Nothobranchius furzeri: one gene and its partners. The protein of the gene in region 5 interacts with the protein of the main gene of each other region in a biochemical or structural test. Links are inferred from orthologs where the notes say so. Each region holds a gene or a part of one and is shown on either strand. Other genes may lie near its edges. The genes, in order: eno1a, stat3, asap1b, tamalin, proto-oncogene tyrosine-protein kinase Src, ptpn11a and ptpn6.

Region 1 (2,631 bases), on a different chromosome or scaffold from region 5:
ATTATCTAAATTTTAATACGCTTTTACAGCAATATGACGCATGCGCATTAAACAGCCACTCTACACAAGGTGGTAGCAATCTTTGTTTTTTGAAAGGCCTTTAAAATATTACATTGAAAGTTGAAATTCAATTGGCATGCACTTTGATTAGAGTTTGTGAATCTACTTTTGTACTCATTCAGCAACTTAGGTCAGGTGTACAAAACGTGTTTTAAATGTGAAGATGCGCTTAATATGACCACAAGATGGCGCAAATCTCAAATTTTACTCTGGCTGTCCTACTGAGTAGTGTTTAACCCATGATGCAGCACTGGTTTAAAATCCAGCTGGGTTGTTTTATAGTTTCAGTGTTTGAGTTTATTTTTCATACAACAAACCTGCAGCAGCTCAGTCATCTGTAGAAGCCTCTGCGTGATTGGGATCGTTTCTACGCCAGCAATTTGTAGAACATCTCCTAGGTGATGATTAAACAATGGATGTAGGTTAAGAAAGGGCTCAAAGTAAATTGTGTGGCACAAACCCAGCTGGCAAACAGCTGAGGTACCATAACACTGATGGATAGACCATCATTTATCCTCTAAAGGCTTTGTGTAAAACGAGGCGCGATTCTTTCACCCAGGGGATTAATGGAAATTTCATGTCACAGCACTCAGCTCGTGTTTCCATCCCAGATTACATTTCACAGAAGCAGAACCTAACCCAGGGTGAGGTTTTCTACAGTTTGTCAAACTCTATTACTTCAGTGCCTTAAATGGGTTTAGTGCTGAAGTCACATGTAGGATTTTTTATGCAAATAAAAACCACAAGGAAAACCTTTGAAACTATATTATTTTATTATATATTTCTGCCAACAGTTACAACACAAGACCTCATCGGATGCAACATTGCACATACAGTACTCTTACCACCGCTTATAAGGCAGAACCTTACTAAAGTTACAGTTGCTCAAATAATCAGGACCAAGATCACTACAACTCACAAGAAGCTTAAAGAAATCTCACACAAAGCAACACGGACACAAACACAGAGACCAACACTATAACGGGAGCTAAAGCATGGTTTCAGGATGAGCTGAGCCGTGGCTGCACCAGGATGTAGTGTCGCTTCAATGCCACAGATTGGACCTTGGACTACAGAGGTTTCTTCTTCTCCTCTCCATATACGGCAGGAGACCTAACGTGGCGTACATGTGTGGAGATTATGAGCAATGAACACGCAGTGGCCCGAGGAAGAAGGCCCGCTCAGATGGGGTGCCTGAAGTTCTGTCCGGCAAAACGGGCCTTGTCACCAAGCTCCTCCTCAATCCTGCAAGAAGGTCAGGTTTTGGTTTCATGCCATTTATGGGATCAAGTGCTATGAGCGGTGTGTGTTTTGGGGGCAGACTCACCTGAGGAGCTGGTTGTACTTGGCCAAACGCTCAGACCGGCAAGGAGCACCCGTCTTAATCTACGTGGGTGGAGAAAAAATAAACATTTTAGATCCAAATCTGCAATCGTATAGAGAGCCATTTATAGTTACAACTTCAAAAATTATGAAAAAGCCATTGTTAAAAAAGATAAATAAAAAAAATCCCACCTGTCCAGTGCAGAGGCCAACCACAAGGTCAGCGATGAAGGTGTCCTCCGTCTCTCCAGAGCGGTGGCTGACCATAACACCCCAGCCGTTGCTCTGCGCCATCTTGCAGCTGAAATAAAGAGGAGCCCCGTTATGTTTACCGCCTTGAATCGTGGCAGTGTTGTGGTGGCGGTCAGCCATGTTGTGGGCACTCACGCCTGCAGAGACTCTGTGACCGAGCCGATCTGGTTGACCTTCAGCAGCAAGCAGTTGCAGGATTTCTCATCGACTGCCTTCGAGATGCGTTTGGGGTTGGTGACGGTGAGGTCATCGCCCACCACCTGGATGCTGGTGCTGCCTGTGAATTTGGTCCATGCTGCCCAGTCATCCTGGTCAAAGGGATCTTCAATGGAAACCACTAAGAACAGAAAGATGAAAAAGCAGAATAAAAAAATGTTAGACGGATGTATTGGACAATAAGACTGATCTAGTTCACTTTGCGCTTTTGTTTGTCTGAAGAAAGTTGTAATTTTCAAAAACCAACCTGGATAGTCCTTGACAAAGCCCTTGTAGAGATCAGCCAGCTGGTCAGGGGTGATGTAGCGGCTAGGGTCATCAGGGGACTTGAAGTCCAGGTCATACTTGCCACCCTTGTAAAACTCAGAAGCAGCCACATCCATGCCAATGACGATCTTATCAGTGTAGCCGGCCTTGGCGATGGCATTCTTCAGCAGCTCCAGGGCTGTCAAAACCAAATTACAGAGGAAACTCGAATAAAATGTTCCCAATTAAATGAATCCAGTGAACACGGCTGTGTTGCCCTGCAACAGTACTGTTTCTCACACCTTCTTTGTTCTCCAGGATGTTTGGGGCAAAGCCACCCTCATCTCCCACATTGGTGGCATCTTTGCCATATTTCTCCTTGATGACATTCTTCAGGTTGTGGTAAACCTCAGCTCCGATCCGCATGGCTTCCTTAAAGCTGCTGGCTCCAACTGGCAGGATCATAAACTCCTGCATGGCCAGCTTGTTGCCTGCATGGGAGCCGCCATTAATGACGTTGAAGGCCTGAAAGGA
Region 2 (3,947 bases), on a different chromosome or scaffold from region 5:
TTGGGGGAAATAGACCAGCAGTATAGCCGCTTCCTGCAGGAGAACAATGTCCTCTATCAGCACAACCTGCGCAGGATCAAACAGCACCTGCAGAGCAAATATCTGGAGAAGCCGATGGACATTGCCCGGATTGTTGCTCGTTGTTTGTGGGAGGAGCAAAGGCTGCTGCAGACAGCCACCACTGTTTCACAGGTACATAAAATATAACCAATCTAACAATAGATCTTTGTTTTTGACACAAAGCTTTTGAATGTAAATGTTTTGTTGATTGTGTTATAGAACGGCCAGGCGGCCCATCCCACTGGAACAATAGTGACAGAGAAGCAGCAAGTTTTGGAGCACAACCTTCAAGACATCAGGAAGCGGGTGCAGGTCAGTTAAATAAAGGACTTAATCTGATAACGCTTCTCTAAAACGGCTTAACGCTACCGAACCACATCGTAATGGTTTTGTTCAGACAGAAGTATAAGAACATTATCGTCTGTTCTTAACAGGACATGGAACAGAAGATGAAGATGCTTGAAAACTTGCAAGATGATTTTGACTTTAATTACAAAACCCTGAAAAGCCAAGGCGGTATGTTTTAATGATCACTTTTCCAGACTTATTGGGGATGTGTATTGATACAGATGCAGGTAAGCCTTTAGCTGATCCACGGTATGTTCATCCTGTCTCCAGAGCTGTCCCAAGACCTAAACGGAAATAGCCAGGCAGCTGCCACTCGACAGAAGATGGTTCAGCTGGAGCAGATGCTGACAGCCTTAGACCAGCTCAGGAGGGTGGGTGTCTGATAAACATGGTTAGAAGCCAGATGGAAAGACATTTGCAAACTTGAAACAAAGCGAACACACCTCTATTTGTTGGTTTAATAGGCCAAAGGGCAGTTTTCTAATGCTTCAGCGTTAGTTGTGGCTGGACTGCTGTTGGTGATTTCTGTTTTGTTTACTTTGTGTTGTGTTAATAGCAAATCGTGACAGATGTGGGAGGCCTGCTGACTGCCATGGATTATGTACAGAAGAATCTAACTGATGAGGAACTTGCAGAATGGAAACGAAGGCAGCAAATCGCCTGCATTGGAGGCCCACCAAACATCTGCCTCGATCGTCTCGAAACATGGTAACTAGGGGTGGGGGAGGAGGCGGTCTAGTTTTTACTCTACATGAAACACAAATGGTTCTGAATTAGTTAAATAATTTTCAAAATCCAAGACCATGGTCTCGAGTCAGAAAAGGGTAGAATGCCTTCTCCAGATCAGGGACGAGGTCTTGCCCCAAGTGTAGGAGTTTAAGTATCTCGGGGTCTTGTTCACCAGTGAGGGAAAGATGGAAAGTGAGATCGACAGGCAGATTGGTGCTGCTTCTGCAGCGATGCGGGCGTTGTACCGGCCTGTCGTGGTGAAGAGAGAGCTGAGCTGGCAGGCAAAGCTACACTTTGCAGACGTTACGCGATGCTTTGGCTAAATGTAGAACATAGCTGTAACTATGCATGTATTACGTGAAGTAACAAGTGATTGAGGCTCCTTCCTTGACTTGAGGTTCATTTCTGCCGGTGAATAATTTCACTTCCTCTGGTACAGATGTTTCTATTCCATCCCTATTAGTCTATCTGTAGTTTATTTTTTAGCATTTGTTATTTTCTTATTTTATCAGATCCAAGTCAGATCTTGGATTTTTTTTAAATAATTTTCTGAAACCTGGCAATTTTTCACAATAAAACAAAGTCTAGAAAGATTTTTGTATGAAATCTGATTTACGTTTAGCGAAGGATTATTATTATTTTTTAACAAAAGATTTTCTTGTTTTAATAAGAAGTTATTAGAAATAAATTCCTTTTGGGTCATTCAAATATAAAGATGTATTGATAATATTTGTGTTATCCATCACAACTGTCTCAGTCATAATTGAATTGAATCATGAGGATCCTAAAGATTCCCACCGCTGGATTTGAAAACGGGAAAGACAAATTTCAGTCGCCAGATTTCATCACTGAAGTTTTATTGAAACGACAAAAACCTTAAAAACTTCACAAAATCACATAAACAGGAAGTCAGAAATGTTCCCGTCTACATATAAACTTGTGTGGCCTTTGCTGGTCCGTAAAAGAATTTATTGGGGAGACAATGTAAGACAAGCAGCCATGCAGCTGACAGCTATGATCACATTAGTTTCTGTAAGTAACTCAGTATTCATGTATTTTACTGTGGAGGGAAGCTTGAGTATCCAGGGAAAACCGTCCATGCCAAGGTAGAACAAGATCTCTGCATCAAGGTCCACACCCGACAGACACGTCTGCTTCTCTGGGCTTCGGCGCTAACGCCACCCTCCTGAAAGAAGACTTGATGAACATGAAGAACATAAAACCGTTACATCTCTGAGTCGGTGTGAATGAATAGGGTCATTAGAGGAAGTGGAAAATGCAGGTAAAATTATAACCTTCAGATTGTCAAGAATCCAGTTGTCTTTGAACTTTTGGTGATCGTTCTTCATCTCTATTGACCTCAGTAAAAAGAGCTATTCTGTAATCATTTTACAACACCCTTAATTTAATGTTCTGATCAGGATCACATCCTTAGCCGAGTCCCAGCTCCAGATTCGTCAACAGATCAAGAAGCTGGAGGAGCTTCAGCAGAAGGTGTCCTACAAAGGAGACCCCATCATTCAGCACCGGCCCGCCCTGGAGGAGAAGATTGTGGATCTGTTCAGGAACCTCATGAAGAGGTACTAGAGACTGTCGATGGGCTTTCCTACACAGAGGATGAGTCAAAGTTCAGCTTCCACCTACATACCAGATGTCTTCAGACAACTGCTGTTTGCTCCATTGTTTCTCTGTAGCTGTTAAAATCCAATCCTTGTTTATTGTAGTGCCTTTGTGGTTGAAAGGCAGCCGTGTATGCCCATGCACCCAGACAGACCCCTGGTCATTAAAACAGGGGTGCAGTTCACAACTAAGGTCAGGTAAGAGCCAGGTCCAAATCAGAGAAACGTGCATATTTCTACACGTGTCTAAGTTTTTGATAAAGCACGTGGTTAAAAATTGCAACATTTTGTCACTTTATTTTCCTCATTTGTTCTTGTGTTTATTCTCAAGGCTACTGGTGAAGTTTCCTGAACTCAATTACCAGCTCAAAATTAAAGTCTGCATTGACAAGTAAGCAGTTTTTTAGTTTGGTTTTAAATCTGCTTTGGGATAAAAATGACTGCTTCACATACTTTTCTGTTCACTTTTCAGAGAATCTGGTGACGTGGCTGCAATTAGAGGGTAAGAGTACAAGCGGGCTTTCTGAACGAGAGTGATGCTAGAGAAGGGTCTTACTTCCTGCTAGAGAAGGGTCTTACTTCCTGCTAGAGAAGGGTCTTACTTCCTGCTGCGTCTGTTTACCAGATCACGAAAGTTTAACATCCTTGGTACCAACACAAAAGTCATGAACATGGAGGAATCCAACAATGGCAGCCTTTCTGCTGAGTTCAAACACTTGGTGAGCTACAGGAACAATGTGTTACTGAGTAAAGTGACGAAGCGATTGATAAAGGCATTCTCTGAAGCACCGACTTCCTGTTTGTTTCAGACCTTGCGGGAACAGAGATGTGGTAACGGTGGCCGGACTAATAGCGATGTAAGTCTTATCTTACATTTACGTGGAAAGTATGATGTGACGCGTTCTTAAGAAAGCCTCTTGACCGTATAGATTTGATTTTGAGTGATAAATGATATTCTGGAACTATATATTTAGACATTTGAATGGATCTGTTTCCTACAGGCTTCTCTCATTGTAACAGAGGAACTCCATCTTATCACCTTTGAGACAGAAGTCTACCACCAAGGCCTGAAGATCGATCTGGAGGTGAGAATCTCTGGCTTACCTCCAGAATTCTGACTATAAAGTCACCAAGTCATCATGTCTTCTGAAGTTAAAGCAGATATTGATGCAGGTGCAAAACAAGTCACAG
Region 3 (3,947 bases), on a different chromosome or scaffold from region 5:
GACTGAGGAACAGTCAGTGTGAGGAGGCAGTAAGTTACAGGAGGCCGAGTGGCCGGATCTGACCAGAATGAGCCCTCCTGATTTAAAAACACGGACTAAATTACAGAAAGTGGAGGCTTCAAACGCTTTTGAAGCTGCAGCTGTTTGATGGGACGAGTGTGGATGAGTCTGAACACTAGATGGCAGCGGAGCTGCTGTCTCCATCCAGAAGGGACAGGAGCAGCCAAGTGGAAGGAATTGTTCATGTGTGTTTGTTATTAACGCAGATCTGAACAAGCAGAACCAACGGGGACAAAAATAAATCTAGTTTAGAGGGATTGAGCTTTGAAATCCTATCATAGTTTGCTTTTGCCATCTTGTTGTAGTTTCCCATAACAAGAGCAGCTTATAGATAGTTTTGTTGTCTCTTTCAGCTTGTCCAGGCTGCAGAGGGGAAGTTCAACCCTCACATCCATGTGGAGTATGAGTGGAGCCTCCGCCTGGAGGAGATGGACGAGAGTGATGACGACCTGGATGATAAGGTGCCTAAGCTGCTGAAATTTGCCCCCGGATTTAGAAAAACTTGTGAATTTTAAACAAAAAAAGGCAGCATTTAAGAAGATCCAGTAAAAAGTCACCCTGATGACCTTTTCTTCTGCCGTTCTGCTGGTGGATTATTGGATTTCAGTGAGAGCTAATCTCTGTAGCTTCACTTGCTGGAGGAGAGCTAGTATTCATTGTCTCTAATGTTCATCAAGTTAACAGCTGTTCTAGCCAAGACTGGCTGTGCATGCAAGAAAAACAAAGCATTATTTTTACTCTCTTTATAAAGTTGATGTACAACTGAATATGAGCTGTTTTCGCTTTAAAGGTGCAGTATGTAAAAATATTGTGAGAATTTTACAGCAAGAAAATCCCAAAGGTGCTTTTATAAGACACACCATGCCGGTAAATGGGCGTAATATTACCGCAATGGTATGTCTGCGTGGCTGCGTGAATTTTGCGGCATTCGTTCCGCCTCGCTTGGTAGTAATATTGCGGTAATGGTCTGTCGTATGCGCCCCGGCGCAACAGAGGCAGATGTCATGATGACGTGGGGAGTTATTGCTGAGCTCCGGCTGGCAAATCTATTGAAAATGAAAGTAAACACAGGCAATAAGGTTTGCTTTTTGTGCAAAATCAGCTGAGATGGCAAACTGGAGCGCCGCAGCGCTCCATGAGCCTTTTTGTTAGAGCTGAAGCTCAGATCACCAGAGACTGCACAGGGACTGATGGGGACAGACACCTTTAGGAGCTGCTTGTTAAATAAAGGTAACGATCACGGCTTCAATCGCAATAAAAAGCAAGTTATGTCCAAGATAAACGGAAGCCTGCGGCAGCGCAGAGCCCAGCCCCATACCCCCTTTATGCCGCCATCACCTAATCTTTTATAAAATTGCCACGATTGCGCCACATTACCGCCATGGTCTGATCTTATAAACAGCCTTTATCCTCCCTAGAGAGCCGCGGCAAATCCTGTATTGAAAATGCTATGGTCCTGTAAAAACAGCTCAAAACAGTCAAATGTTTCAGTCATGAAGCATGTTTCATATCCAGTTGGCTGCGGGGATTGTCAGTTTTTCCTCCTTTCCAAACAAAGGAAGGAGGGACGTCAGGGTTTCCCCCAGCGCCGCCAGGCTTTGCTTGGCCACCCGCTAGGCTAAGAGTCATGCCCCGCCCCCCTCCCCGACCCTACCGTGTCCGCTGACACGAACGGCGCAACGAAACTAGAGCCCCCCCATCACCTGATACTGTTGAGAAACAGCAGCAGAACGTGTGCAATCACCCCCGCTGTCACAGAGGAGCGCTGCGAGATGGAGCGCGCGATCCCCCCCTTCCCCGACGGCCGAATCCGCCAGGGTTAACTAATTTTCTGGGGGAAACCCTGGACGTAACTATTGTTTACCATCAGTGAGTGTGGGGTTGCCGTGTCCCCTGCAAGCTAATGCTGCAGCGCTGACAATTGTAATTTGACAATGGCCGGCAAACAGCTCCAGAGTTGTTTAAATTGGTGGCAGTTACTAAATTTTACCACAGGACGTAATTTTTACTTCATTTCGACACAATGCACCTTTAATGCAGAAATTTTAGGGCAAACAGATTTCTTAAAAAAAAAAAAAACTTTTTTTCTCCAGTATCCAGAGATTTGCTGCTCGTTATTTTTGTCAATAAAGATTTAAGTTGCTTCTTTGCCAAAAATGTGTAGAAAAAGTAAATTTTTCTACCTTGATTTTCAGAAATGTGCAGAAACCACATTGGGGGGCTGTTAGCTTGAGTCAGGTTTAGCTTTAAACGTCAAGAAGCTGTACACACGGGCATTTAAAACTGATGTTGTATTATTGAGTTAATATTTTGCAGTAACTTCATTGACTTGTTGAAAACGTTTTGAACTGGGAAGTGGCTTAAACTTTAGCGAAAGTCAAAAGCAGAGGCATGTGGCTCCAATGACACTCTTAGGCTTTTTCATGTCTAAATTTGAGAAGAAAACAAGATATTGATTTAAAAATGGAAGAAACAAGCATCAAAATGTTTCTTTGTGCTGAAGAAGAGCCTCCCTTCAGGTTTGTTTGTTTGTTCTTATTAAGATCCCCATTAGCCACTGTTAAAACAGTTGCTATTCTTCCTGGGGTCATATTATCATCATCAAATAAACATAAGGAATGCATCAACACTGGGCTCACAAGCAAACTATCCATTTTCATCTACAATATTCATATCCACTATAATGTAAAGGATGGGTAGTTTACATCTTACTTATGAACCATAAAATGTGAGATTCCATAGAAATATGAAATATCAATCTGATGGATCTTTGAATATTTTAACCAAAAGATCAGAACTTTTTATTGCAGGGATTAAACGACACTTCGTATTAACTCCAAGGAAAGAGAGAGAGTCAGGTTTAAAATAGTTAAGAAATTTATTTCTACACAATTTAATCAAGGCTAACTTTAACACTCTGTGTACTGATGGACTAAGGTGGGGTGAGACGTGATGAATGATGATGGTGTGTGTGTGTAATGTTATTCAGAACCAGCGGATCCGGAGAAGCAGTTAGTTCTGAGTAGGAGTGAATGTTTCGCTCTAAACTTTAGTAGGAGATTTATAACACACATGAAACGCCATCTGTCGGTCTACATACCCAGGGGAAGCCTCCGATCAGATCCAGAATGCCGAGGTCCTTGTGGACCCTCTTTGGTACCGAAGCCAGTAGAAAAGCAGCGGTGCTGACCAAACCAGTCTTGGAATGCTTCCAGGTCACGACAGGTTATCACTGGCGTCTCCGAGACCCTGAAGGGGTCGTGAGGTTCAGCTTTTATTCTGAAGGAACCGTTGCGGTCAGGTGTAACTTCCAACAGATTTTATCAAGCTTGTCTGAGGTTCTTTATGGCTGAAGAGGAAGTCCGCATGGCCTGTCCGAGACTCCTCTAGAACACTTTGAACTAAAGAAAAGGCGGCGTTGAATAGTCTTTATAATTGTCATATTTTGGTTTACTGGCGAATCAGAATTTGACATGCAAAAAGAGGGTTTATACAAACACCACAGAAAACCACACCTCATGCCAGAAACAAAGGTTCTGATTGGATCAGACAAAAGGAAATGTGTCGTGTGACTTTAGCATTATGTGTCCTTAGTGTCTAGTGCAAATGTCCAGGATTATTATTACTTGTAAAATACTACTGATCACAGGATTATAATATCAAGTAATAACATTGTCATTTCACAGATTGATTGAACATTGGGCTCACATTATTATTGGTAATTAACAAAGTTGTTGATTATGTGTTTATCAAAAGAGTGTTCTTCGTCTTGAGCTGTAACAGAGGTGAAGCAGTTCGAGAGGGTGCTCGCTGCAGAACTACAAAGGCGGAGCTGCACCATAAGGTGGAGCTGCACCAGAGTCAGCCCCGCCCATTCACGCAAACTC
Region 4 (4,421 bases), on a different chromosome or scaffold from region 5:
ATAAGTTCACACACACGTACACACACACACACGTACAAACACACATACAAACAGCAAGGGGGAGGGGGGTGTAGAGGAAAAGAGCAGAGAAAAAGCAGAGAGGAAATGGAGGACACCAAGTGGTTAAAAGAAAAACTGCGAGGCGTGCCTCGACCGGAGCGGAGAAACAAGCGTCTCGTCTGAGGAGCAGCGAGCAGCGGCCGAATTTCGTGAGCGCTTCGCCTCCCGGCGCTTCGGCGGCCGGTGTGTCCCCGGCCTAAGACAGAGAGGAAATTATCTCTGTCTGTCCCCAAAACATGTTCTTATCTGAATCTGGTGCCCTTGAGCCTGTGAGGCTGAAGTAATTACTCCCCCTCAGAAGACATGTGGAATGCTGCCGTTGCCATGGCAACTCCATCTCCCTATCCCAGCCTGGGCGGGACTGACAACTAGTTGGTGAAGGTCGTGGAACCGTTTCCAGGAGTCACTGGGCTTTCTAACCCAATTACCTCCCTCCCCTGTCCAGACGGAGGTGACGGGCGCTGCTCATCGCGGCTGCATGCACTGATGTGAGAAGAGTCCCAACCCTACCTCCCCACCTAGTGGACACTTATGTTGTGTGATGTCTGAAGTCTGTTGCATTTCTGTCTGAGGTGTTTTTTTGCATAGCAAAGCTGCCCTCTCTGTGGAGGGTAACTCTGAAGTGCCTTTTTTTTCCTCCACCTGAACCAATCCTCATGTAAACCCTCTGATCTCTATTAAGGTAGCGCGACTCGGGTTGCGAAAGACCACAGTCACCAATTCTTGTCATGTGTCTATGTATGTATGTCTGATCTCAGAATTGTGTGTGTACTGAAACTCTAATTTCCCTCTGGGATTAATAAAGTATCTTTGAATTGAACAAGTGGAAATTCACACAATGGCCCTGATCTAAAGTAAAAAATTGAGGATTTTAATAGCTGCATGGGACTGTGCCCATCAGCATCTGGACATCAGAGATAGACACACAGAACAATAATCTGTAAGACTGAAGGACGTCTCAGTGGTAGGGGGACATGCAAATTCATGGCATCATCTGTAACCACAAGCTTGGCTCTGACTTAAGGGGAAGTCGCCGTGAGGTTTGCGTAAAGGAAAAACAATGAGCTGGGCCAAAGACCAAAACAATGTGGGAGACTGTACCTTTGTGGTTCTGCTGATTGTGTGAGGGGTTTCCACTTCTGTGGGCCACCTCCCTGTGAGGAGAAAACAAAACCAGACGTGAAGCGTGTCAGACACCTACAAGAGGTTAGAGCAAGATGAGTCATGAGGGTTCCCCCTAAGATCAGCTCCCAGCACTTCCTGGACACACCTGTGGTGCACTGGTCCAGCAGGTTTTGTAATGGCAGACGCGTGCCAGGCGGTTTGTTTGTATTTTAAAACCACTGATCCATTCCGTCGGGTTCGAACCACACCGACGAAACTAGAAATGAATGTCTGGCTCCTGTTGTTTACCTTCAAAGAAGGCATTCAGCTAAATTTAGCCCAACTTTCACACCAAGTCAGATGTCCCCGAAGCGCTTGTCCATCTACCTAACTGTTCGGTAAAGAAACACGTGAGACAGCGTGGTGAACTACAACACCAGCATTGAGAGGAATCAGCGGCAGGTTGGGTCCCTGCCCCACCTGACTGTATAAACAAAAGAAAAGGTATCAGTCCAGATGCCTGTGGGAAACCACCCAAATCAATCCACCTCTGTTCCAACTCAATCATGTTCAAATGTGGTTCTCTGAAAGCCTGCTTTGTGTTCTCATCTCCCAGCCCACTAAAATGTTGCTTTCTTAATGTCCCAACACTTACAGGACTGCCGTCTCAATGGGGGCATTTATTCCCAAGTACCCAGAGTCCAACGGGGGTGTCTCGACAGGATCTGCATTGGTGGGAGTGCACAATGCTGTGTTGTAGCCACCTCGCCCTTATTACAGCACGCTGGTTGTGTGTGGGCTTGTCACTGTGTCCCACTGTGCATCCCAGCTCTGAGGAAAGGGAAGCCTCCAGAGATCTGCTCTGCTCCGCTCTCAAAACTAGAGTTAAGTTTTCAGGGTTAATGAGAAACAACCCAGAAAATGTACAAAGGGACAGCTGAGGTGAGCAGTCACTTCCTCAAATGAATCACAAAGCTGCCTTCAGGACAGCGAGTGAACTCAGGAGTCCTTTGAATTTGACTACTTTCATTTTAAGTCTTCATCAAGTTTACTAATCATCTCCAAAAACACCAAAGTGTTCTCCAGAAAGCCAGATCATCAGCTTTAGCTCAGTCAATTCCATCCAAGAACAATCACCACACGTGTGTGTGTGTGTGTGTGTGTGGTGTGTGTGTGTGTGTGTGTGTGTGTGTGTGTGTGTGTGTGTGTGTGTGTGTGTGTGTGTGTGTGTGTGATTCTAAGATTTTCTCTCAGCAGAATAAAAATAAACAACTCGCCGTTTATAAACAGAAAGGATGCAACAACTTGCATCATTCTGTCTTGTAAGCAGAATTCTAGATCAAACTCAAGCGCGTTCAAAGTGAGTCTTCATTATTTTCAAGCACCTCACAGAGGCAATTATTTATTTATGTATCCATAAAATATATGTTAAACATGGTTTTTTTATCATTTGCTTGTCACCCAATTCCAACTAGGACCCAACTAGTTGTCAAGTCACCTTAAAAACAGTTAAACGCCAAACTTGTAGCTGCAATAGTCAGGCTGCTGCCGAGGGGATCTTGTCTGACCTTTTTGAGGTTTCTGGGCAGCGTCCCGCCGGAGTAAGCCAGAGTTTTGTAGTTGTAAACCTCCGAGAAGCTCGCAGGTAGCTCCACGCTCCTGCAGCTGTCGGACTTGGACGAAGGGAAATAAATGTCGTCCTGAGAAGCGGGTCCGCCTTCCGGACCGCTGGAGTTCGCCTTCTTCAGCCGCCTGAAAGTCATCGTTGTTGGGAATGAAAGGGTTCGCTGAGCTCCAGCAGAGGACCTGGTAAGGAGCTGATGAATCACCTACTTCTACCTCCTCCTCCGTTTGAGTGTCGCCTCTCATCAGTAGCAGGGGGCGGAGCTTACTCTAAGTGGCACGAGACGCTACGCTCCACGGCACATTCAGGGCCCCTCGGGCGTTTCTGCTTCACGTTCACTAACGACAGTCCTAAATAACGTGTAATAAAGTAAATGTACTTCTAAATTATACTCGTTCAAAGTGGAATATCTTAAAGAATTATTCTTCATATATTTGACCAACACCAAAATAAAAGTGAAAAACAACTACGAGTGTTAGCTTTTATTTGATCATTTTTCGTGTAACTCAGCATTCACAGATCGGGCATTTAAATTACAGTAACGTATATTTTAATTCCTATGGAAATGGACTAATCACACAAATATTTAAAGCACATTTTAATTATTTCCTGACATTTAACAGACCAAAATGATGCAATTGTTAAATACCAGCAAGGATCTGAGAAAAGTTGCAGTGTAAGTATTCTTGTGTATTTAATCATACTATAAATATTTTTTTTTCTTTTTGGATTGTTGAATATGATCCTGACAATAATTAGTCGATTTAAATAATTGTTACATAGTAGTCCGTTTACACAGATAATCATACCACTTTAGCTGATTGTCCTTGACTGCTTGGTTTCTTTTACAGACTAATCTGTGCGTTTGCTGTCTCAGACTCTGTATTCCAGAGATGCTGTAACATTGCATTGATTTTATGGCATTTTCCCGTTGGAGCAGTATTGGTCCGGTCTTTCAACACGTGATCGTAGCAACTCCAGATTGTTGTTTTTTTTTCTAGAGTGCTCTGGTTTGTTTGTTTTTACAAGTTTTGAAAAGTTTTGAGTAACATTTGCCGGAACAGTGTCCACATGTGTCATGATTATTCAGATAGCAGGTGAGGGATGGATTTCTAACCTGCACAAAACCTTACTTTTCATTTACTTTGGAGAACACGGGGATACTACCTTGCAAAGATCAATCCCCTCATTGGCAAAGGCAAAGAGAAGCAGAGGGAAGACAACATTTTGGTAGTGGACCAGATCTGTGACTCCAGATTCAAGTGTAATCACACCCTATTTGAAGCTAAATCTAACATTAACTACAAAATGAGCTTTTAACAATTAAAACAAAAACTTCAGTCCAGACAATTTATTAAAATCTTTACATGGAGTTATTTCAGAAATGTTACATTTACACCTTAAATATATATTGAAATGATATGACTGAAAAGCATTAAATTAAGACTGCATAAATTAGAATAAATATTCTGAGCCAATATGTCAAATCTTAGATAACATGTAATGACTTTGTGGTCTTAGGAGAGTATCTCTCAGCTCTCAAACACATTTTCCTAAATTTGGTCCAAAGAAGAAGACTGACTGCTCAAGCTTTTCTTTCCTGTTCCTCTCAACACTCACATTTCTTTTAAAA
Region 5 (4,631 bases):
ACTTTAGTGCATCTTAGTTAAAAAATAAATATTCTGTCTAAAACTGTCATCGCCCTCTTCAGGTAAAAACTCGGCACTGCATTTGAATTTCAATCTGCCATTGCTGTTGGCTAAGACGTACACTATTACGTTAGCTGGTACATTATGGTGTCACAATGTTGTGAGCCTGTGTGTGCATATTTGCTAGCGGCTCTACCCTCTCGGTCTGCCAGGCAACAGCATTTGTTGCATTTTTCAGTAAGTGGGAGTGGAGTGAGAGTCTGGAGTGAGACCCCCCCAAATCAAAATTTTTTTGCTTATAAACTAAATAAACGAGTGTCTAATCGTGCTGCAGACACGTGTCGTCAATAATTTGGCATTTCAGTGCATCTTAGTTAAAATTCAAATATTCTGCCTAAAACTGGCAGTGTTGTGCCGTTGTCAGGTAAAAACTCTGCACTGTATTTTAATTTAAATCTGCCACCGCTATTGGTTAAGAGGTATGCTATGATGTAAACTGGTACATTATGATGTCACAATGCTGTCGTGAGCCTGTCTTTGTGTGTATTTGTTAGCAGCTCCGCCCTCTCGGTCTGCCAGGCAACAGAATTTGTTGCATTTTTCAAACATGAAGAGGGAGTGAAGTAAGTTTCTTGTACGAGTTGACTTGCTCTTTAAGAAATAGTTCCGAACATTCAGCACGTGAACGTGGCATGTCTGATCACACCGATTGTGACTTAAGCTGATAAAATGACAACCCAAAACAAAAACATTTGTGGCTCTGAAGTCAGTCTTACCTTGTGCTAAGATTTTACGTAGGAAACAGAACACTTTTTTTGCTAATCCATCCCCCTGTCCCAGGTCTTATCAACCCTGATTTTTCTTGTGATGATGAGCACACTATTGCTGCACATTTGGCTATGACAAACCTGACTGAGTCACAACAGACGGTACCAGTTGTTGCTGTGCTGCAGAGACTGAAGGAGCTCTGGCTAATGTTTCAGTTCAATGGGGAAATTACAGTTTGCCCTCGGGAGAGAAGGCGAGGAAGAGGAGGTGGGGAGGGGTCAGCGATGGTTCCCCATGATCAAAACAAGAGGAAGCATTCACATTGGCATTGCCGTCTTGTCCTACTTTACATAGTCAGAGGAAGAGAAATGGACTTGATTAGGTCCAATGAACATCAGAACCACATCTTCTTGTCTTCTAAGCCTTTACATGAACAATCCAACATGTGTGGAAAGGGTAAACAAGCTCTCCCATCTCATCTGTCCTCTGGCAAACACACTCAGGAGAGACAAGGGGAAAAAAGGAGGAGGAGGAAGACGGACAGACTGAGGCACTTAGCTGATAAAGAAAAAACACTTCCGTCCATCTCTGACTGAAGGCTCTGGGAACCAGTGATCCTGGCCGTGGGGAGCGGCTGCTTCAGCGTGATTAATTTTACAGGACATGATGGCCATTTCATGTCAGAGATGTCACGTCATTTACAAATTCTTAAAACTCACCCTGTTCTACGTGTACGCCCCATTTCTGACTTACATTTATTCAAATGAGAGCATTTTATTTATAATACTCCCTCTGATCAAAACATGTCTAAAGTCTCCACTCACTTTTACACTGAAGGCATTAGGAAAGTAAAATAACCTTTTGGTCTTCTTGAAGTCGATATTCACCTGGAAGCCTCCATGCAAAAAAGTTCTGCGACATAACTCATGAGTCGGTGTTCAGGGAACACCTTTTCAACTAGTGAGACATGACAAGCAGTCGGAATTACCTGAAAACAGGCAGGAAAACATTCCTGAAATGTTCCTAGTATCAACACCAAACAAGATCAGGAAAGGTGGGAGTTCACTGAAGGCTTTAGTTCCAGATTAGCCAACCCTTGATTTTAGGAAGCTGTCTGTACATTTAATGTCTGCTGACTAAAACAGATGAACGCATGAATAAATAATGGAGACAATAACATAGCTGCAGCCAATTGAGCCAAATATTTTGAATGACCCAAAAACAGAACATCATGTTTATCACCCATTTGCCCCCATTTATGGGATAAAAATATTTAATTTTGCTTTTACAGCCCAGTTAGATGTTGCAGCTTCCTTTATGTTTGGTGGATCAGCAAGTCCACCAGTAGCTCAGATACTAGGGCTTTAGGATTAAAGTTCCTCCTTAATAAGAAACCTGGATCTCTTTCCTCCCAGAAATTAGCTGGAACAGCCCCCCCCCCCCCCCCCCCCCAAAAAAAAACTATCTGCTAATAAACTATTAGCCACATAATTAAAATTCTATTTCCACGGGATTAAACACCAGTTGTCAGCAAAGCTGCTTTCAATGAAACGCGGGGTGGGGTGGCTGCTGCCTACGGGAGTAGCAACTGTCAAAACGGAATCTTTGCTTGGGGAGAAAATAAAAATAAAGACATAACCTAATTAAAAACCAGCCAGAGTTAGCAGGGCGATCCGTTTCAGGTGGTTTCTGGATTTGTGAATGGGAACGTGGATTGACTTATTTTTAAGAGGGCTCAGTGACAGACAGCGGTAGCTCCAGTGCATGTGGCCTGATGAATCAAAACAGGTGCTGTTACAGCTCCATTTTGGATTTCGATGGATTGTTGGCTTCTTTTTCAGAGCAAACTCGTCTCATCGGATTTTCTCTGAGCATCTGGCGTCGTGACGAAGCCACGATGGCGATTTTTACAAACCTTTTGTTTTTTATGGTCTGTAGTAAGTCCTAAGGGGCAAGCCCCGGCTCAGACTGAATCATTGCACTGGCCGTGGTCTCTGAATGGCCTGTGTAACAATGAGCGTGTGTGTGTGTGTGTATGTGTGTGTAGGGGACCACAGCATATATACATGTGTGAAAACAGACTAACACCTAATTGTTAGCTCGCGGTTGGCCCCAAAACTGTAAACAATCTCCTCGCCAGGAGAGAAAAAGCCGCTACATGCTGTAATAAACTAAACCTACCTTTGACGCGTCTTGTGATTCAGCCCCCCAAAAAAATAAAATAAAAAAATCAGAGAAGCGCAGCGAGGAGCCCGGTCAGATTCGTATGGCTGTTCTCATCAGAAGAATATGGAAGCCGACGGGCAGTTGCTGTGGAAACCTCAGTCCAGCCGCAAATCCCATTTAGCGAATATCAGAAGAATCACCGGAGGAAGGGAGAGAGGTCATGACGAGGACTGATTCTCCTCAAGGAGGGAGCGCAGCTGCCGCGGTGGTGGCGGTGAGCTACGGCGGCGGTGGTCCGGGCGAAGCACCGGCAGACGGTCCAGCTGGAAAGGAGGCGACGGCGCAGTAAAAATCATGCGAACGAGCTGGAGCGGTGTTATCCGGGGAAGACCAGCCTCGTATGGGGGAGGAAGCCGCCGGAGAGAGCGCATCGCTTACGAAACATGAGGGCGAACCAGGGGCGAACACGAAAAGACTAGATTTACGTTCAAAGAGCGTCGGGAGAATTTACGACAACAACTGCGCAACTCGGCTCTGTGAAGGGAATCACTTTGGGCATGACACGAACAGATTCTGAACACCGCTGCCGCGTTTAACCCCTTTAGATCTGTTCAATACATACACAACTTTGTTACATAACAAATCCCCGGCAATGACTTAATTGAGATGATTTGCTTAAAGTACAGGCAACGTAAAGTGGTTGCTTAGCAACACTTCCATTACAGCAGAACGTGACTGTCGCATTAAAGTCAAACCCTCCGGGGTTGTTGACGTTTGGAAAACATTTGCCCCAGTTTTGAGTTTTATTGTTCCACAACGTTGTAATTTAAAATAATCTGGTAACTGAGTAAATGTAAAGGTTTGCACTTGTGAACAATCAGTGCATAGTTTATCAATTTATTTTTCAAATTACTGTCGCAATCATCTATTTTAATAAGTTCCCTTTTAATGTTTTTGTAATAGAAATAAAAGTATTTTTTATAAAATGACGTTTGGCTTAATGAAATTTTTAGCTATGAAAAAATTCTCTCTAGATATGCGATTTCAAGAGAAAGAAAGTTACAATGACACAAATAAACCCAAATTTACATAATAAATCAAAAGCATCGAGATCAAATATGGACAAGTTACCTATTCTTTATATTTAAATACATTGCAAAACTCCAAATCTCCCTATGATATTTGTGTCTGTAGCTGAACACCAGTCACACTTAACTGACTCACAGACATGAGTAAAACAATCATAAAGACAGCTGAGGTGAATGACTTTATTGGTCAGTTGTAATCCACATGCATTTCCAACAATATCTTCAATATTTATTAATAAAATGAAGGGAAACGAAAACTCTTCACTGTCAATGAACATCGTGTTTTTTTGCAGTCTGTGTGAATATGAAAGTAGGATCATTGAGAAATGTGTTCCATGTAGTGTTGTAATAATAACTAAAATGTATCAGATGACAAAAACAAACAAACTCAGATGCACAAAGCTCTATCGTTTCTTTTTGCTCTCTTTCTTTGGTTTCTGTCGAATCTGAGGTGCTGGTCCTTTGGGTTTCTTCACTGGTTCTGTCGTTTTCCCATCAGTGGACTCTGTCTCCTCCTGTGGGCCGAACACCAGAAACATTAAAAACTAAACGGCTAAACGCATGGAATGAATATATGTTCCTTTTTTCCAAGCTTAAATGCAGCTTTAC
Region 6 (3,947 bases), on a different chromosome or scaffold from region 5:
AAAATTGCTCTCTAATTTCTCTCTGGGATTAATAAAGTATCTTTGAATTTGAATTGAATTGAATTTCTGATTGTTGCACAAACTTCATTTTAATGCTTTTTACTTTATCTTTGTCAACTACAGACTAAAAGTTTAAAACCTCTGGGAACCGTGGATACAAGGACATGTACAGACATTCATTCCTTTAGGTTATTTTTTATATATCGTTCATGTGGTGAATTTTATTAAAGTCACAGCATGTTACAGAGACAAAGATGAGAGAATATTTTAATAACAATAACAGGGATGTTTTAGTTTGTACCCTGCTGTTCAGCTGAAGGGCTCATTAATAAAGTATGTTTTTGTGTTATAGCTAATGTATACCTTGTGCTGATGAAAAGCCAACTCACCCTTTTCTCTGATCACATCTATCAGGATGTCTATCACAATAAATGTTCCTGTCCGCCCGATCCCTGCACTGGAAAAGACCAAACAGAAACGGAGTAAAGGTTTTCCCTCCAGCGCCGCCGCCCCCGTGTCTTTTAGATTCCTACCTGCAGTGTACCGTTATTGGCCCAGCATCAGCAACGCTCTCCTGTTTGAGGTTGACTTCCTCCAGGAAGTCCAGTACACCACCTGGGTCAGCAGGAACACCGTGGTCTGGCCAGGTTTTGAAGTGGTACTGCCACACTGTGCGTTCTGTGTTAGCCTGACAACAATGTTTAGATGGTGCGTCACTAAGAACTTCAGTAAAATGAAAATAATTTTCAGACCCCCAAGAAGAAAACAATTTAAAGTTGTGGATCACTCGTTTAACCAATACATTTGCAGTAGTCTCCAGTAGGAATGAATGCCTTGCAGGCAGAACTCAGGCCACAAAAAGCCCACAAACCCCTATCTCAGCAGATAATTGGACATCTTGCCTCAGACTGGACAACAGCAACGCGACTCTACCACTAACTCTGTTTGCTCGGGGACATGGATGTTTTACCTCCACAAATAACAAGCCTGGAGGAGCTTCAGCTGTGTGAGTGAGTTGCTAACGCTAGCGCTTATCTTCGGTTTACTGAGACATTTTCTGCTGATTCTGGACAATAAAACAACAACAGCCTTCCCCACCGTGAGTCAATATGGGTAAGTCCAATTCACCGTCTACTTTCTATCAGAAGCTAATGCAGGAGATTGGTGTAAGAAACTATTTTCATGTTCAACCTGCATTAAAACTCAAGAGTGACCGATTATAATCAGAAATAATCATTAAAAATGTTTTTTCAGTTAACCATTAACTAATACTAAAGTCATAATGGTCAATAAAACTATTCCTACAAACCACCAACAGCTTACCTGCCCAACTTTGGACAGCTTCAGTTCTCGTAGGGTGTAGTCGTGGGCGGTCGTCTCCCTGACATTGCGAACACGCATGGCGCCATACTCCTTCAGAGCAGACATGTCTGGCCAGTACTTCACACACTTACTCTGTTGAAACATTTATGTTCATTTAGTTCAGCTTTTGTTGAAAAACGTCTGATTTTACTATTACTAATAAAACACCCTGATGTAATATCAAGCAATCAGAGATTTTGTGATCAACTTTTAGCTGACTAATAGAGGTATAATATGTTTGTGATGTTGATTAGCTGTGGTCATCTAGAAACCTATTCAGTCGTTGATGTACATGTAATGATTACTTTCTGGGAGTTTCACAAAACTCAGCCTGGTACCCGTTACTAATGGAAACAGATGTGAAACTGCACTGAGGAGGTAGAGATGGAAAACCCATACCTGTCAGATGCTTATTTACAAATGCTGTGAAAATAAGTCTGGTATGAAAATGAGCTTAGTTTCAAACGAGGACTTTTGTGATCAACTGTCCTTCATCTGACGTCTCCTCTAAACTTGATGTAAACGATCATAAAATTGAGGCAGCAAACATTCTGACTGATATTTGTTTTATTCTCTAAACTTTTAGTCACTGCTGTTGTACCCAACTCGTGTAGATTACCTTTCCTCTTTCCACCTCTTTGGTGGTCATGACGATGACTCGAGACTCTTCCTGAAAAACCATCCGCCAGAAGTCACTGATGGTGTTCTGCAAGCAGCCCTGAGTAGCTATGTAGCTCTTCTTTACTTTGTTGGTGTTGTTTAGGCTCACATCCGGCTGCAAACACACGCACATTTAGCAAAAACAACAAACACAAATATCTGAAGTACAAACTAACGGACAACACAGAACAGCTGTGTCTGTCCTGATGAAGGCAGCAGGTATTACTATGATGATATTGGCGTTGATGTAGTCGGAGCCTAGTTCGTTAGGGTCCCCGTCGTTCAGCACCACACGCGAGTGGTCGACTGCAAACACAAACAAAAACAGAAGAGCTGGTTGGTTCAAACGTCCCAACAGCTGGTACCTAAATCATCACACTTGGAGGCGTAGAGGTTCCTCACAAGGAAGGATGTTCTTGTATCGGTTCTTGTTTTTGTTCTCTGGTCTCTGACCCTCTTTGCGGCTGTAGAGCAGTTTGCACTCCTGTTGCTGTAAAGTCTAAATGAGGAAAAAGAAAGACAACATTTACAAGACAGTTTCCACAATAACTTACAGCATTTAATGAAAAAACATCACTAACCAACATATTTTAATGTTTTAAAAGAAAACAAATCTATATCACTTGTCTTATCTCTTTATTTATCAATCAGTAACATTTAATCACTTCAGGGTTAATTTCCTGGTTTCTACACTCAGTCTGTCTAAAAGCTTCAGTCTCACCTCAAACTCCTCCCAGAAACCTTGTTTGACCTTGTCAGTGGCCTCCGCTAGTTTACTCAGCTCTCGAACTCGACTTTCAATCTCTGCTGCATTTATACGAGTAGTGTTTAGGGGCTGCGGACGAAGGCAGAACAAACGTTCACAGATCAGGTGCTTCAGTATAAGATCATGGCTACACGTGGTTGAGGACGGGTGAAACTAAAACGAGGCGGACCTGTTTGAGCTGAAGCACGGTGCCGAGGGTTTCCACCATGGGGTTCTTCTTGTAGTGCTCCACCAAGTCTGTGAGGGAATCAAACTTCTCCCCTCCACCCACGTCGTACTTCAGGTCATGCTGGGGACGAAGAAACAAGCCACCATCAGACAACCGTGTTGGGTACAAATGTGAAGAGAAGGATGCTTTGGGTCCACCTTGTTAATGATATGTGGGAAGAAACGCCGTCACAGTTCAGTCGGATCCGAGAACATTTTATATAAACGTCTAATAAATGAGAAACTTCACCTTGGTTTTAAACTATCAGCAAACAGCACTGTGATATTGGTTAAATGTTTCATTTAACCACAATAAAAGTTTTCTTCAGGGACGGATTTAAATTATTATTTAAGCAGTGGTTCCCAACCTTTTTCCCAAGGGACCCCGTTTTTTACCAGTAAAATTTTTGACGACCCCCTCCCATTCTCTCTTCCAGTACAAACATTAAGAAATGATAAAATTGTTCAAGCACATTTTAATATGCTTTGATTCAATAGATAACAGTAATAGTAGGCTCCAGTACAGAACAAAGTCATTAACAAAACCAAACAGAGCATAATGTGCTTGACAGTTTGTATTACTTTTCTGAGCACATTGTTTCTTGTAAACACTGATAAATCAATCATTCATTTCAATAAACGTTTGACACATAAAAAATACACTGAGCAAAATGTACTTAAATGTGTATATTACTGTTTATACTAGATTATTTACTGTAAAGGCTGTGATTAATCCACCAGTCCTATCTTTAATGAACTTTTGACACTTGAAAATAAAACAGTGAGCTGAGCAAAATGTTCTTAAATGTGTGTTACTTTTTCTGTACTAATTATTTCCTGTCTTCATATCAGTAAACTTTTCACTCATGAAAAAAATGTGAGCAAAATGTAGGCTATAAACAAGTAATAAATGAAGTTTTAACCCCTTAAAGTGGAGAGGTCCTGGCGACCC
Region 7 (3,947 bases), on a different chromosome or scaffold from region 5:
TAATGCAGATAATCTCTAATGTTTCTGGATTAATTAGCAAACAAATTTATCAGAGTATCAACGTTATATCATTGTTTCAGAGCTAATAATTTAAAAGTATTTAGATTAAAAAGAGAAGTAAAGCGTATTCAGTGCAGATTTAACTTCTCATGATTAGTTGAAATCTTTTTTCTCCTGTGGAGGATTAATTCTGATAATCTGAGGATAAATCTGGGAGCAGGTCAGTTCAGAAGGGCAGAGAACTGCTGAGTATGAGAAAGTATGTAAATCCTTGTTAGTACTATTAGGAAGTAAACTAAAAATACCAACACAAGATCATCTGATCAAGCTGCTTCAGAATTCCTTCAATCACAAGAACTAAATCCTACAATCAGTGGAATAAAAACCCGTTGTTCACCTAATAATCTTAATTTTTTGTTTCTTAAACCCTCAAAGAATTATGTACAAAAAAAAACAGTATTAGGAAATTAAAAAGGCACATCTATGGTGATATTTATTCTGTAATACAGTGACTCAGCAGTGACCCGAGGCACTCGGTACCTGCAGTGGATGATCATAGGACCAGTGTTAAATTCGTCCTGCTTAGCGTTGACTTGGGTGAGGAAGCTGAGGACTCCGCCTGGTTCCTGAGGGACGCCGTGATCGGGCCAGCTGAGGTACTGGTAGTGCCATACTGGACGGGAAAAATTGGGCTGGGAGTGAGAAAAAAATGGTTTCAGATATATATTTTTTACTTTACAGCCTTTTAATCTTCTTGTGAATGTACTTTGATGCTGTTACACCTAAATTTCCCCATCAGGGGACTATAAAGGATGTTCTTATTCTAATCTATTACATAAATGCAAATGTTTCCTCCAAAATGTTATAGTTCTGGACTAAAGTGATCTGAAAAACCACCACAAAGGCTGAAGATACTTTAAGCTATTGCTTTCAAACTGGTTTCAGTGGTTTTTGAGCCATAAATTTGACCGACTTCACATTGGACAGCACTCCGTTTCCCCCTGCTGACCAGAAACTGGACCAAACAGTTCTATGGTTTGGGTAGGAACACTGGTGGGAGATCTCTACCCTGTTCTATAGCTGTTACCCCCAAATTCCACTACCTCCGCTCCGCTGCGCTCCGCTCCGACACGAACGCCGGAGCAAAATCGGTCCCGTTCTAGTCAATCAGAGCAATTCCACTACTGCGGCCGTGCTCCGGCAGTGCGGCGCCGTGCGGCGCCCTCTGTTCCGGCGTCCGGCAAAAATAGAATCGATCCTATTTTTGCCGGACGCCGGAGCACCTCCGCAGTAAATGGACAGAAATCACAACGGCCCAACAGGAAAAGGAGCAAGCACATCTTCCGTTTTTCACAATAAATCGATAAACAAAAGGCGTTTTTTGTTTCATATGCACAGGTTTAACAACTTTTAACAACTATCAATGGCGGCTGAAGTTTAAATGCACAAAAATAAGCCATAAATACAGTTGCCACTATCAAAGTAGTCACACTTTGTTGATCCAAACACTGCTGATCTCTCAACACAATGATGGGCAGATTAAACAGCTCATTTCGATGCTTCTCCCGCACAACGGGTGTTTGGATCTAACTTCCGCGTTTATTGCTCGGACTGTATCGCAAGATCTCGAAAATCCCGCGCATGCTTGTTTGCCCCCCTCAGGTCTCCGCACCGGAGCGGAGCCGTTGTAGAGCGGATACCAGTAAAAATTGAGTTCGGAAGCGAGCGGCTGCGGAAGGCGGGGGCGGACCGGAGCGGAGCGGAGCGGAGGTAGTGGAATTTGGGGGTTAGTTGTTTATTGTGCTACTAGCAGTTAGCTAAAAAGGCTAGTTAGCTTTTTTTGGTTCACTTACTGTCAAGAAGAAGACGACTTTTGCTTTTTTTGTTGGCATCATGGCAGAGAATTCGAGTAAGAGAGTAATGTCTTTGGAGCAGAAGCAAAGAGCTAAAACCTGAGTGAACATCGGCACGCCCTACGCTAGTTTGAGGGAGCTAAACGAGGCTGCAAAATCACGGCCTGATGGTGACCTGGCTTTGTTGCTACTGGACGTGTAAGTAATAATATCCTTTCTCCAACAGTGTGGAACTTTTTACTTTGTGGTTTATTCAGTATCAGTTGGCTAGCACTAGCTTGTTAGTGCTAGCTACGACAGGCTGCTACAAGGTTGTTTATAACAGTTGTATTTCTGCTTTCAACCAGCAGAGGCAGGAAATGTATTTAGTGTTGCTTTAAGGATCACAACGAAGAAAATCTAAAAGAAGGAGGGACGACTAAAGTGCACAGAGTTGATGATGTCAGAGGTTTGAAAGTGACCTTAGCCACGGGAGCGATCTTCAGATGTCGAACTTTGTAATCAGAAGCTTCCCGCTCCGACTCACAGGTCACCACGTAATCTCCCACGTTCTTGGAAGTCTGACTTTCCGGCCAGTATGGTACGCATTTATTCTGCAGAAAAGCAAAAAAAGACACTCAGATAATCTCTAATATCATCAGCAAATGTAGATTATTGCATCTCAGCCAATAAAGTTCATCTTTATTCAGTAGGAATGTTTGGATTTTTTTAAGTGTCTGTTCCTGTCATTTTGGATACTGACCCGTCCTTTCTCCACCTCTCTCGTTGTCATGACAATCACAGTTGTGTTCTCCTGCCACACCATCTGCCAGAAATCGTTGACGGTTGTTGCGAGGCATCCCTGAGTGGCGATGTACTTTTTCTGTCCAACAGATTCCCACAGCTTGTTCTGCAACCAACACACAAACACGCTAAAGGCCCAGACGGTTTTCAGACGGCGGCGCTGCTCGTCCAGAGCGTTCCACCACTTACTTTCACGTAGTTAGCATTGATGTAATCGGAGCCGACGACATCAGGAGAAGCGTTCTTCAGGATGACTCTGGTGTCGTTGACTTGTGAGAGAAGACAAGAAGAGGGAGACAGGATTGGTCACAGAACCGGGTTTTTGTTTACAGAGCGAGAACCAGAAGGTTAAAACTCACAGGGAAGAATGTTCTTGTATCTGTTTTTGCTCTTATTCTCTGGTCTTTGACCTTCCTCTCTGCTCTTTTTCACCTTCGTCTCCAATTTTTGAAGAGCCTGCAAGAGAAGAGATATTTGTGTCAGATACTGGGAATTACATACGATTTTATTGAGACAAACTCATCAAAATAAATGTATTTTTGCAATTTCCTATATGCAGGAACAAGAAAAACTCCTAATTCCTCCTAGCTATTCTCTAAATGACCTTGTTTGTTTTTGTTCTGGTCCTCTATTTAAACCTTTGTAGGTCTCATAAAAGGATGACCAAACATTTTCACTTTGATTTTTCACTAATCCTTTTTATATTTTGGCAGATTTTTCACCCGTTTTCTGTCCAGTTCAGTCAAAATATCTGTGCAGTGTGTCAGAAAAAACTGAGGCAACTTGATGTGTGAGCTTTGGGAAAAAAGTCCTAAATGATAAAGGTTTAGAAGAACTGATGTTAACAAATAAAAAGATTTGGTGTCTGTGTCCAGCTGCTGGTAACAAACATCCTGGAGATCCGTATTTCAAAACCAGTTTCTTTGTTCAGCTGCTTGTTATGTGTTGAGCTCAGGATGTTTTATTCATTTTCTTTAGCATTATTGATTCATCGGTCAAGGTTTGGAGGTCTAAATGGAAAGCTGATCCTGTGTAAGGAAGAACGAAAGATCAGGAGAAAAAACTAGAATTAAAATAAAAGGCAAAAAAAAAAACGATCAAGGAACCTGTTGTTCTAGTTTACAGGAGAATGTTTAATTTAAAGCTGTGCTCTATAGCTATATAACATAATGCATGAGGATTGTGAAGGTTAAGTAGATTTTACAGCTACACTGCAAAAAATGAGTTCTAAAAAAGAAAAAAATTCAATTTTTTTAAACATTTTATCTAAACGAAAATAAATTCTTCTCGAGAAAAATAAAACTACTTAAA

Evidence for each region.
Region 1: of the proteins of proto-oncogene tyrosine-protein kinase Src (region 5) and eno1a, one has a biochemical effect on the other in vitro, tested with the Homo sapiens proteins (4 studies listed by BioGRID). The link is inferred for Nothobranchius furzeri from reciprocal best matches to the Homo sapiens genes SRC and ENO1.
Region 2: the proteins of proto-oncogene tyrosine-protein kinase Src (region 5) and stat3 form a complex in vitro, tested with the Homo sapiens proteins (3 studies listed by BioGRID). The link is inferred for Nothobranchius furzeri from reciprocal best matches to the Homo sapiens genes SRC and STAT3.
Region 3: the proteins of proto-oncogene tyrosine-protein kinase Src (region 5) and asap1b form a complex in vitro, tested with the Homo sapiens proteins (2 studies listed by BioGRID and IntAct). The link is inferred for Nothobranchius furzeri from reciprocal best matches to the Homo sapiens genes SRC and ASAP1.
Region 4: of the proteins of proto-oncogene tyrosine-protein kinase Src (region 5) and tamalin, one has a biochemical effect on the other in vitro, tested with the Homo sapiens proteins (2 studies listed by BioGRID and IntAct, with this or other methods). The link is inferred for Nothobranchius furzeri from reciprocal best matches to the Homo sapiens genes SRC and TAMALIN.
Region 6: of the proteins of proto-oncogene tyrosine-protein kinase Src (region 5) and ptpn11a, one has a biochemical effect on the other in vitro, tested with the Homo sapiens proteins (2 studies listed by BioGRID and IntAct). The link is inferred for Nothobranchius furzeri from reciprocal best matches to the Homo sapiens genes SRC and PTPN11.
Region 7: of the proteins of proto-oncogene tyrosine-protein kinase Src (region 5) and ptpn6, one has a biochemical effect on the other in vitro, tested with the Homo sapiens proteins (2 studies listed by BioGRID). The link is inferred for Nothobranchius furzeri from reciprocal best matches to the Homo sapiens genes SRC and PTPN6.

What each region holds. Positions count from the first base shown.
Region 1 is NC_091755.1:28,673,490-28,676,120, reverse strand, and holds the end of eno1a (enolase 1a, (alpha)), read right to left. Parts: intron 2,623-2,631; coding exon 2,400-2,622; intron 2,297-2,399; coding exon 2,099-2,296; intron 1,973-2,098; coding exon 1,771-1,972; intron 1,685-1,770; coding exon 1,576-1,684; intron 1,447-1,575; coding exon 1,388-1,446; intron 1,306-1,387; coding exon 1,242-1,305; 3' UTR 811-1,241; downstream 1-810. UniProt on the Homo sapiens protein: Glycolytic enzyme the catalyzes the conversion of 2-phosphoglycerate to phosphoenolpyruvate. In addition to glycolysis, involved in various processes such as growth control, hypoxia tolerance and allergic responses.
Region 2 is NC_091745.1:6,831,165-6,835,111, reverse strand, and holds part of stat3 (signal transducer and activator of transcription 3), read left to right. Parts: coding exon 1-192; intron 193-279; coding exon 280-372; intron 373-494; coding exon 495-576; intron 577-678; coding exon 679-779; intron 780-964; coding exon 965-1,116; intron 1,117-2,558; coding exon 2,559-2,717; intron 2,718-2,861; coding exon 2,862-2,954; intron 2,955-3,087; coding exon 3,088-3,147; intron 3,148-3,228; coding exon 3,229-3,258; intron 3,259-3,381; coding exon 3,382-3,475; intron 3,476-3,565; coding exon 3,566-3,613; intron 3,614-3,757; coding exon 3,758-3,841; intron 3,842-3,947. UniProt on the Homo sapiens protein: Signal transducer and transcription activator that mediates cellular responses to interleukins, KITLG/SCF, LEP and other growth factors. Once activated, recruits coactivators, such as NCOA1 or MED1, to the promoter region of the target gene.
Region 3 is NC_091747.1:45,635,154-45,639,100, forward strand, and holds part of asap1b (arf-GAP with SH3 domain, ANK repeat and PH domain-containing protein 1), read left to right. Parts: coding exon 1-29; intron 30-413; coding exon 414-521; intron 522-3,947. UniProt on the Homo sapiens protein: Possesses phosphatidylinositol 4,5-bisphosphate-dependent GTPase-activating protein activity for ARF1 (ADP ribosylation factor 1) and ARF5 and a lesser activity towards ARF6.
Region 4 is NC_091755.1:37,123,168-37,127,588, forward strand, and holds the start of tamalin (general receptor for phosphoinositides 1-associated scaffold protein), read right to left. Parts: upstream 3,048-4,421; 5' UTR 2,928-3,047; coding exon 2,733-2,927; intron 1,215-2,732; coding exon 1,162-1,214; intron 1-1,161. UniProt on the Homo sapiens protein: Plays a role in intracellular trafficking and contributes to the macromolecular organization of group 1 metabotropic glutamate receptors (mGluRs) at synapses.
Region 5 is NC_091743.1:58,638,638-58,643,268, reverse strand, and holds the start of proto-oncogene tyrosine-protein kinase Src, read right to left. Parts: upstream 3,163-4,631; 5' UTR 2,950-3,162; intron 1-2,949. Other genes in the region: protein MANBAL, read right to left, coding at 4,427-4,537. UniProt on the Homo sapiens protein: Non-receptor protein tyrosine kinase which is activated following engagement of many different classes of cellular receptors including immune response receptors, integrins and other adhesion receptors, receptor protein tyrosine kinases, G protein-coupled receptors as well as cytokine receptors.
Region 6 is NC_091746.1:40,330,496-40,334,442, forward strand, and holds part of ptpn11a (tyrosine-protein phosphatase non-receptor type 11), read right to left. Parts: intron 3,078-3,947; coding exon 2,958-3,077; intron 2,858-2,957; coding exon 2,744-2,857; intron 2,522-2,743; coding exon 2,425-2,521; intron 2,329-2,424; coding exon 2,249-2,328; intron 2,138-2,248; coding exon 1,982-2,137; intron 1,456-1,981; coding exon 1,324-1,455; intron 689-1,323; coding exon 534-688; intron 458-533; coding exon 390-457; intron 1-389. UniProt on the Homo sapiens protein: Acts downstream of various receptor and cytoplasmic protein tyrosine kinases to participate in the signal transduction from the cell surface to the nucleus. Positively regulates MAPK signal transduction pathway. Dephosphorylates GAB1, ARHGAP35 and EGFR.
Region 7 is NC_091745.1:73,963,216-73,967,162, forward strand, and holds part of ptpn6 (tyrosine-protein phosphatase non-receptor type 6), read right to left. Parts: intron 3,093-3,947; coding exon 2,996-3,092; intron 2,906-2,995; coding exon 2,826-2,905; intron 2,743-2,825; coding exon 2,596-2,742; intron 2,447-2,595; coding exon 2,315-2,446; intron 693-2,314; coding exon 541-692; intron 1-540. UniProt on the Homo sapiens protein: Tyrosine phosphatase enzyme that plays important roles in controlling immune signaling pathways and fundamental physiological processes such as hematopoiesis.